Linked DNA regions of Arabidopsis thaliana. The protein of the gene in region 1 interacts with the protein of each later gene in a pairwise test. Each region holds a gene or a part of one and is shown on either strand. Other genes may lie near its edges.

The links. Proteins that work in one complex are often made in the same cells at the same time.
Region 2: the proteins of WLIM1 (region 1) and CLA1 interact in a two-hybrid assay, tested with the Arabidopsis thaliana proteins (one study listed by BioGRID).

The regions. Positions count from the first base shown.
Region 1 is NC_003070.9:3,345,835-3,349,732, reverse strand, and holds WLIM1 (GATA type zinc finger transcription factor family protein), read left to right. Parts: upstream 1-1,593; 5' UTR 1,594-1,969; coding exon 1,970-2,104; exon of another isoform or gene 2,105-2,286; coding exon of another isoform or gene 2,287-2,295; coding exon 2,296-2,392; intron 2,393-2,491; coding exon 2,492-2,535; intron 2,536-2,622; coding exon 2,623-2,712; intron 2,713-2,849; coding exon 2,850-3,056; 3' UTR 3,057-3,343; downstream 3,344-3,898. Other genes in the region: MPK1 (mitogen-activated protein kinase 1), read right to left, coding at 1-154. UniProt on the Arabidopsis thaliana protein: Binds to actin filaments and promotes cross-linking into thick bundles. Has an actin-stabilizing activity. The actin regulatory activities are not regulated by pH and [Ca(2+)].
Region 2 is NC_003075.7:8,882,218-8,888,189, forward strand, and holds CLA1 (Deoxyxylulose-5-phosphate synthase), read left to right. Parts: upstream 1-1,607; 5' UTR 1,608-2,000; coding exon 2,001-2,150; intron 2,151-2,433; coding exon 2,434-2,559; intron 2,560-2,642; coding exon 2,643-2,958; intron 2,959-3,064; coding exon 3,065-3,336; intron 3,337-3,423; coding exon 3,424-3,697; intron 3,698-3,774; coding exon 3,775-4,082; intron 4,083-4,164; coding exon 4,165-4,446; intron 4,447-4,524; coding exon 4,525-4,809; intron 4,810-4,896; coding exon 4,897-5,037; 3' UTR 5,038-5,450; downstream 5,451-5,972.

The DNA.
Region 1 (3,898 bases):
TGTTAACAGAGGAGCAGACAACACCGTAAGCTCCACGACCAATAGGCTTGATAGGCATGTACTTAGTGTCGATCTCGAACAGAGTTTGCCACATTGAGAAGTAATGCTTCCCTTCATTCCTTATCCCATTAGGAGGATCAACCAAAGTCGCCATTTTTTGTTTTCCCTCTTCATCACAATTCACACACAATCAAGAAATCAAATTTACACACACAATTAACAAATTATTATACTAACTATTTATCAAAACTTTTCAAGTGATAAGTTACTGTAGATTTCTTGTGTAAACAGATTGGTCTGTTAATAATAGTGAAAAGGAAAAAGATCAAACTTTATCGATTTGGTGAAGGAACATAAACGATCGGAATCAATGGGAAAAAAGTTTACGGGATAAAGCGGGAAGGAAATTCTAACCGGTGATAAGTGACCAACGACGTTCCCCGGAGGTTAGATTTGGCCGGAGAGAGAAACCTGTGGAAGTGAGAGAGATTTGGCCAACGCTCGGACAGTTGACCTGCTACTTGTTCGTTACTAGGTAGTCTTTCCTTATATAATTTGGGCTTAAGTTGAGCCCAATTAATATTGGCAAACAGATTCACGTCTCTATCTTCTAAAATCAATTTCGGTATTTTTTAGTAACTGATCACCAAAGTAGCATCATTTGTGAATATGTGTTCTACGAAGATTTATAAAAATTGAAAATGAAGAAAAGTATTTTAAAGTAAAATATATCATAAATGTAAACAATGACACATGACTAAAATATTGCATCACCAATTCACCATCTTCTTTTGCTTTAACTTTACGTTTCCATCACACATCTTTTCATTTTGCTAAAATTAGCATCTAGAGGAAAATAAACTACAAAAGATTTAAAAGTTTTCATTAAGTCAGATTATTAATATAAGAGAGGAGGCCCATGCAGACAGAAAGGGAAAGCCCATAAATCTAAGCAGTGGCAAAAATGTTAGAAACTGTATAAAATGATACTAATAAATTGGTTGGAGTCTATTATAGTAGCAAATAAAAATAACGTTAGGTATTTTTGATTAAATAAAAGATGTTAGGTATCATTATGATCACTCATTCTCTTCAACCAATTATGTCAATACTACAGCTCATCAAAAGCCTTTATGGTAAAGCATGTTTCAGATATTTTCATTATTCATATACACACTACACAACATATAGTATTAAAGAAAATAAATAGTGTATAGATATTTAGAGATTTCCAACTAATTCAACATAACCAATACAGCTTTTAATCATTATCTAAAACCAGACAAAGATTCTTTCCAGTTGGTTTTCCCTGTTCTATTTCCTTACAAACAGTTATTGACTATTGAGCATTGCCTTCACTGTTGAGAAAAATTTGTGTAAATCTTACGCACTGTCAAGCAACTGCATGCATTCTCTAAATAATTACCTGACTCTAGATATAAAAGAACTGAATTAATGTAAAAAAAATATAAGCAAAATATCTAGGAGACAGATATTGACGGGTTACTTCAAGTTTGGACAAAAATAATTAAGAACACAAAAAATGCCGTTGAAACCTTTTCTTTTTGTAGTACAGTTTTTAGTTTTGTTGCTAACGTTCAAATTATTTATTTATTCATCGCTTATCTTGTTTTGTGGATTAGACAACCACGAAAAACAATGCTAGGGTTGTCAGAAACACCAAATATTCGAATTTGCATCCAAAATTCGATACTCATCTTGAACTTTTTTGTTTGTGACATTTTATTAAAAATTTCAATTTTTCCTAAAAGAATTTTACTTTAAATATTTAAAAAGAAGAAGCATGTTCATTTTTCAATATATCTGGTCCCCATATTAAAACAAGCAACAATAATTGACAATCTCTTTCTTTCATCTTCATCTTATTCTTCTTTATCTCTCTCTCTCTCTCAAGACTATTGAGCTTCTTTCTTTTTTCCTGAGTCTTTTAGTCTGATCTCTTACAAGAATGGCGTTCGCAGGAACAACCCAGAAATGCATGGCATGTGACAAAACAGTTTATCTTGTCGACAAGTTAACCGCCGATAACCGGGTCTACCACAAAGCTTGTTTCCGATGTCACCATTGCAAAGGAACTCTCAAGGTTTGATCTTTGATTCTAGTTTGTGATGATTTCTCATTAATCCAGAAGTAGATCTAGTAGATATATATGTAGATGAAGAAGTCCAATCAATTAAGTAGAAATCTTTGAATTTTTGGCTATGGAAACTGATTGGTCTAAAGATTTGACTGTTCTGTTTCTTCTTCTTCTTCTTCTTCTTCTTGATGAGTCAGCTTAGCAATTACAACTCCTTTGAAGGAGTTCTCTACTGCAGACCACATTTCGATCAAAACTTCAAGAGAACTGGAAGTCTTGAGAAAAGCTTCGAAGGTAAATTACCAAAAACAGATCAAAATGTGAAAAGCTTTGTGAGTGGGGATTTCAAATTTGGAATTATCTATCTAAAGTTTGATTCATATATATGTACAGGGACACCAAAGATTGGGAAACCTGATAGGCCTTTGGAGGGAGAGGTACTTTCGGACAGCAGAACAAAACCCTTTTTCTGTTTTTGAGGTTCTTGAATTTTTTTAACATTTAACATGAGAGAAGTTTAACAGAGACCTGCTGGAACCAAAGTTTCGAATATGTTTGGTGGAACACGAGAGAAATGCGTTGGTTGCGACAAAACCGTGTATCCAATTGAGAAGGTATCCAATCTCAAATCTTTCCTGATCAGAATCAAGTTGTGTCAAAGAAGATTGTTAGATTGTTTCCATAACGAATCTGATCTGTTCTTGGCTTAAACCAGAGCTGAAACATTGCTTATAATGTGGACTTTGTGTAGGTATCGGTGAATGGAACATTGTACCACAAGAGCTGCTTCAAGTGTACACATGGAGGCTGCACGATAAGCCCTTCGAATTACATAGCTCACGAGGGTAAGCTATATTGCAAGCATCATCATATTCAGCTGATCAAGGAGAAAGGAAACTTGAGCCAGCTCGAAGGAGGAGGAGAGAATGCCGCCAAGGACAAAGTCGTCGCTGCTTAAAGAAACAATTCAATCTCTCTGGGATGATTTTGACTATCGAAGAATCAAAAGAGTCACTACTTCTCCATCGATCGATAACATATATTGGTTTTGTTTCTTCCTACGTTTGTGTTTTTCTTTTTGGTCTTTAATATGTTTTTTTTTTTTTGGGACCTTTGTTCACTCTTTTATTGGGTTTCTTGAAATGAAACTAGAGAAACAAAGAAATAATGGATGTTTGCTTATGAGATATATATGTATTACGTTCATATGATATAAATTAATTTTCGTGAAGTTTAAGCTTCAGCTAAATGATCGATTCAATTGCTACCATCGTTGATTCAGGTTATTGATAATTTGTTACTCTTGGCAGAGAGGATGATGAAGTCGCGTGAAGATAGAGGATGGAGATGTAAACATATTGGGCTAATTCCTTACAAATGTTAACATAGATTAAAAACATAAAATAAAACAAACAAATAAGGGTAACAAACCGAAACAAGAGAGACAACCCATAACATTAATAGGCCCAACGACCAAACCCATGAGTCCCAACTCGGAGGAGACCAATCGACGAAAACCCCTACACAAGAGGCGCACTAACACAGAAAACAACCCTTTGCCGAAACTCAATCGGAGAAGGCTAACAAAAATTTTGCAAAGTACTTCGTGAACTTGAATTTGTAAAAACAAAACATATTGATTCATGGATTTTTTGTTTTAATGTTATTGTCTTCAAGGAAAAATCGGGAAAATAATGGCTACTATAGATATAATACAATGATATGAAATTAATTACAAGTAGAAAGTAGACATACTTATTAGCCCTATTGTAAATCTACCAAAATGATTTAAATCAATGG
Region 2 (5,972 bases), on another chromosome or scaffold:
TGATTGTATGTTGTTAGAATGGTTTATCAGAGTGCATTCGCACAACTATCCAATCTCTCGAGATCTTCTCTATTCGTTTTGATATTTTGAACTTTTTGAAAACCTCTCAATCTATTGATAAGACAACTTTTTTATGAAAAAATCAAGTTTGAGAACTAGGTTTTGTGTTTATTGATCTAGTTTACTTAGTCATATTCACTAAGTCGTCAATATGGTATGCTTTCAACAATAACATAGTAATTTGAATGCCTCGTACATTTTAGGCGATTTTCTATTACAATGTTTTGGTAGAGAATACGTATTTGTATATTTATGATGTATACGTGCATATACATTAATTGTTTTGTCGGTTTATTATGATCAAACAATAGTTTGTCTGTCAGAAGATTCAAGAAATATCTTTGAATCTGAGAGTTTCCAAAAAACGTTATGATGAAAATTTGGCATATACGTATTTCTGACAAGCTGATAATATTGTCATCTTGCATTTCAAGCAGTTTCGACAAAATTTTATCCAACTGTTATATTCAAACTAATTGAAAATCGAAAAACCACCATTAAAAATTAGTTAAAAATAACATATCATTTTGAAAATGCAATATTTAAAAATTTAACATATCAATTTAACATGCTTGTTTTCTTAATAAGTTTTGATATATTATAAAATGAACCGCGTGATTACAATTTTTCTTTTTGTGATGGAACTGTCGTTAGTTAAACACTTAAACTTAAACTTTCATGTAAGTTTTGTTTATTCATATTTGACTCAATTGAAACCCAATAATCAAGAATGTCAAATATTATATGTTTTGTCGGATTTGTAACGTGATTCTCGCTCATTTAATAATGTGATAATATCATAAAATTTAATCTATGTAGTTGTTTAATATGATATTAAACTTTATTAATGTAATAAGATCGATAATACTAAGTTACTAACCCAAATCATACACTTACGAGTTACGACACTACCGCACTATCTTGGTTATATTAAATACTCCTTTTGTTTCTAATAGTTTGATGTTTATATCAACATTATTATTTACTTTCATTTGTTACCGATAGAAAGAGGAGAAAATTGTTGACAAAAACAAAGAAAAAAGTAAAATTAATATTATTAAATTAATAAAAATAACAAACTGTAAAAGCTATTTTTAAAAATTTTTCTTGTAAAACATCTAAAAATTATTCTTGTAGAAACAGAGGAATATCATTGAAGATAATAGTGTGAAATTATATATATATATAGAAATATATAAAGTAGGATTTTTTTCTGTATACAAATATACGTTTCCAATTTTATCAAAAACTGTAAAGATTTTTTTCTTTGTCAGTACCTGCTAAACTTGTTAATTTTTTTATTAAAAAAAAATCAAATTACAATTCTTCTATAATCATTTTAAATTCCATTTCTTTATACCACAAAAGATTATATTGCCTTTATCGTCTTTGGTATGTATGCGTGAATATATTTATTTATTTTCTTTTCTTTCATTTTCTTTTTAAAGAACTTTATAAATGAAATAAGGAACAAACAATATACACATGTACTAACGTATATAAATAATATCATCAATATCTATCCAAAACTTGGATTTCATGGTTGACGTGGCCCAACCAAAATCTCAAGTTCTCTGCGGATGACGAACCATCTCACCATCTCTTTTTTTCTCTCTCTTTTTTTTTTTTAATATCATCAGCACGGTTACATAAAATTCGTGATCCATGAAGTTGGCTTTCTTGTCGTTTTACTTCATCACCCCATTTTTTTAAAGTCTCCATCTTTATACTTCTTCAACTCTCCACCACCACCATTGTCACCACCACATTTAAACACACACTTTCACTTGTAGTGGGATTCGAAAGTGCGTTTTATTCATTTGTTTTACTGTTTTTGATAACCTCAAAATTTGCCTAAATTTTATTCTCTATAAATCCTTATATGTTTTACTTACATTCCTAAAGTTTTCAACTTTCTTGAGCTTCAAAAAGTACCTCCAATGGCTTCTTCTGCATTTGCTTTTCCTTCTTACATAATAACCAAAGGAGGACTTTCAACTGATTCTTGTAAATCAACTTCTTTGTCTTCTTCTAGATCTTTGGTTACAGATCTTCCATCACCATGTCTGAAACCCAACAACAATTCCCATGTAAGTTCACTTCTCTCTTCTCTGCTTCATCATGGAACTTGATTTAAGAACTATGAGATTTTGTAGCTTGCCCATTTGCTGAAATCTTGAATTAAATAATGGGTTTACTTTGTTTTTGACAAAAGTCAAACAAATTTGACTCCTTTTCTTAGTTACTTTATTGGAAATCTGTGGAAAATATAGTGAAATTAGACCAATAATATTGCTTCTTTGGTTCTGATTTCTGGGAACTGATTAGAGAAAATGACAGCTTTTGCGATTTGGGTTTTGTGTTGTGGTACAGTCAAACAGAAGAGCAAAAGTGTGTGCTTCACTTGCAGAGAAGGGTGAATATTATTCAAACAGACCACCAACTCCATTACTTGACACTATTAACTACCCAATCCACATGAAAAATCTTTCTGTCAAGGTAAAGATTCTAGCTTTGATGCATTTGTTTTAGCTTTCTTACAAATTGATGGATTGGTGGCATTTGGTAACAACTTATTGCAGGAACTGAAACAACTTTCTGATGAGCTGAGATCAGACGTGATCTTTAATGTGTCGAAAACCGGTGGACATTTGGGGTCAAGTCTTGGTGTTGTGGAGCTTACTGTGGCTCTTCATTACATTTTCAATACTCCACAAGACAAGATTCTTTGGGATGTTGGTCATCAGTCTTATCCTCATAAGATTCTTACTGGGAGAAGAGGAAAGATGCCTACAATGAGGCAAACCAATGGTCTCTCTGGTTTCACCAAACGAGGAGAGAGTGAACATGATTGCTTTGGTACTGGACACAGCTCAACCACAATATCTGCTGGTTTAGGTAATACAATCAATCATTCCTTTGGTGTGTTTGCCTTGTGTTGTTGTGTTTAGACAGTAAACTGTAATAAGAAAACAGAACTGAATCAGATATATGAGTTTTACAGGAATGGCGGTAGGAAGGGATTTGAAGGGGAAGAACAACAATGTGGTTGCTGTGATTGGTGATGGTGCGATGACGGCAGGACAGGCTTATGAAGCCATGAACAACGCCGGATATCTAGACTCTGATATGATTGTGATTCTTAATGACAACAAGCAAGTCTCATTACCTACAGCTACTTTGGATGGACCAAGTCCACCTGTTGGTGCATTGAGCAGTGCTCTTAGTCGGTTACAGTCTAACCCGGCTCTCAGAGAGTTGAGAGAAGTCGCAAAGGCAAGTTTATTGCATTTCTTTTCTAGAATGGTAAAGAATACTGGTCTTTATGGACTTGATGAGAATTTTGGCTTTTCTTGCGTATAGGGTATGACAAAGCAAATAGGCGGACCAATGCATCAGTTGGCGGCTAAGGTAGATGAGTATGCTCGAGGAATGATAAGCGGGACTGGATCGTCACTGTTTGAAGAACTCGGTCTTTACTATATTGGTCCAGTTGATGGGCACAACATAGATGATTTGGTAGCCATTCTTAAAGAAGTTAAGAGTACCAGAACCACAGGACCTGTACTTATTCATGTGGTGACGGAGAAAGGTCGTGGTTATCCTTACGCGGAGAGAGCTGATGACAAATACCATGGTAAAACAAGTTAGATAGATAACGTTTTCTCTAGTTCCTAAGCAGTGGGATATATATATTGATTATTTTTCTTTCAGGTGTTGTGAAATTTGATCCAGCAACGGGTAGACAGTTCAAAACTACTAATAAGACTCAATCTTACACAACTTACTTTGCGGAGGCATTAGTCGCAGAAGCAGAGGTAGACAAAGATGTGGTTGCGATTCATGCAGCCATGGGAGGTGGAACCGGGTTAAATCTCTTTCAACGTCGCTTCCCAACAAGATGTTTCGATGTAGGAATAGCGGAACAACACGCAGTTACTTTTGCTGCGGGTTTAGCCTGTGAAGGCCTTAAACCCTTCTGTGCAATCTATTCGTCTTTCATGCAGCGTGCTTATGACCAGGCAAGTTCAACATCTTAATCATTTTACTTTGTAATAAAACATTTTAAGAAACTAATAGAGTATATGGTGGCCTTCTCTGTAGGTTGTCCATGATGTTGATTTGCAAAAATTACCGGTGAGATTTGCAATGGATAGAGCTGGACTCGTTGGAGCTGATGGTCCGACACATTGTGGAGCTTTCGATGTGACATTTATGGCTTGTCTTCCTAACATGATAGTGATGGCTCCATCAGATGAAGCAGATCTCTTTAACATGGTTGCAACTGCTGTTGCGATTGATGATCGTCCTTCTTGTTTCCGTTACCCTAGAGGTAACGGTATTGGAGTTGCATTACCTCCCGGAAACAAAGGTGTTCCAATTGAGGTATAACTTTGGTCCTCTCAAATATGTCTCTCTTCCTTCATCATTTTGAGATAGAAAATCTCTTTGGGTGTATTTCAGATTGGGAAAGGTAGAATTTTAAAGGAAGGAGAGAGAGTTGCGTTGTTGGGTTATGGCTCAGCAGTTCAGAGCTGTTTAGGAGCGGCTGTAATGCTCGAAGAACGCGGATTAAACGTAACTGTAGCGGATGCACGGTTTTGCAAGCCATTGGACCGTGCTCTCATTCGCAGCTTAGCTAAGTCGCACGAGGTTCTGATCACGGTTGAAGAAGGTTCCATTGGAGGTTTTGGCTCGCACGTTGTTCAGTTTCTTGCTCTCGATGGTCTTCTTGATGGCAAACTCAAGGTTACTTATTACTTCCAGAAACTCTCTAATATTTTTCTGTCTTTTCAAAAAATACTGTTTCTAATTTGCAACTGTTTGAATATACAGTGGAGACCAATGGTACTGCCTGATCGATACATTGATCACGGTGCACCAGCTGATCAACTAGCTGAAGCTGGACTCATGCCATCTCACATCGCAGCAACCGCACTTAACTTAATCGGTGCACCAAGGGAAGCTCTGTTTTGAGAGTAAGAATCTGTTGGCTAAAACATATGTATACAAACACTCTAAATGCAACCCAAGGTTTCTTCTAAGTACTGATCAGAATTCCCGCCGAGAAGTCCTTTGGCAACAGCTATATATATTTACTAAGATTGTGAAGAGAAAGGCAAAGGCAAAGGTTGTGCAAAGATTAGTATTATGATAAAACTGGTATTTGTTTTGTAATTTTGTTTAGGATTGTGATGGAGATCGTGTTGTACAATAATCTAACATCTTGTAAAAATCAATTACATCTCTTTGTGTATCTTTCATAGCTTTGTGTGACATATTTTGGTACGAGCAGTGTTTTTAAACCTGGACCTATATATATGGCCTCATTGACTGACGATCGAACGTACCAATGCAGTGACCCGAACCACTTTCCGGTTTACATTCCAATCCGGTTTTACAAGATTGGATACAAGTATTTTTTTTTTCAAAATATCCCCAAAGAGCCTAAAGGCATTGAAAGACTCTATCTACAGAAGAGAGTTCTCTTGTTAAGAAAATATTAGACAATAATAGAGTATCTTCATTATGTTCTTATAATCTTATCTAATAATTACTCTCACTAAATAAGATGATTATGATTATAGTTTGCTTTCATAAAGATGAATGTATTCAGTTTTACTTATTAAGTATACTTTACTTGGGAATTTATCTATACCTAATAAATATAAAATAGTGTAATCATAATTAAATTGAATAAAAAAATGAAAAGAAAAGATATAGTATCTTAATTATGTTTATATCTAATATACTTCCTCTTTCACTAAAAAGATGATTTTAGGATTTATTTTTTTTGGTTCATAAAGATGAATGTAATCAATTTTATATATAAATTTATCTTCACCAATTAAATATACTATAATGTAAATCTTAAATAAATTGATCAATTTAATCTATAGATTAAAGTTAGA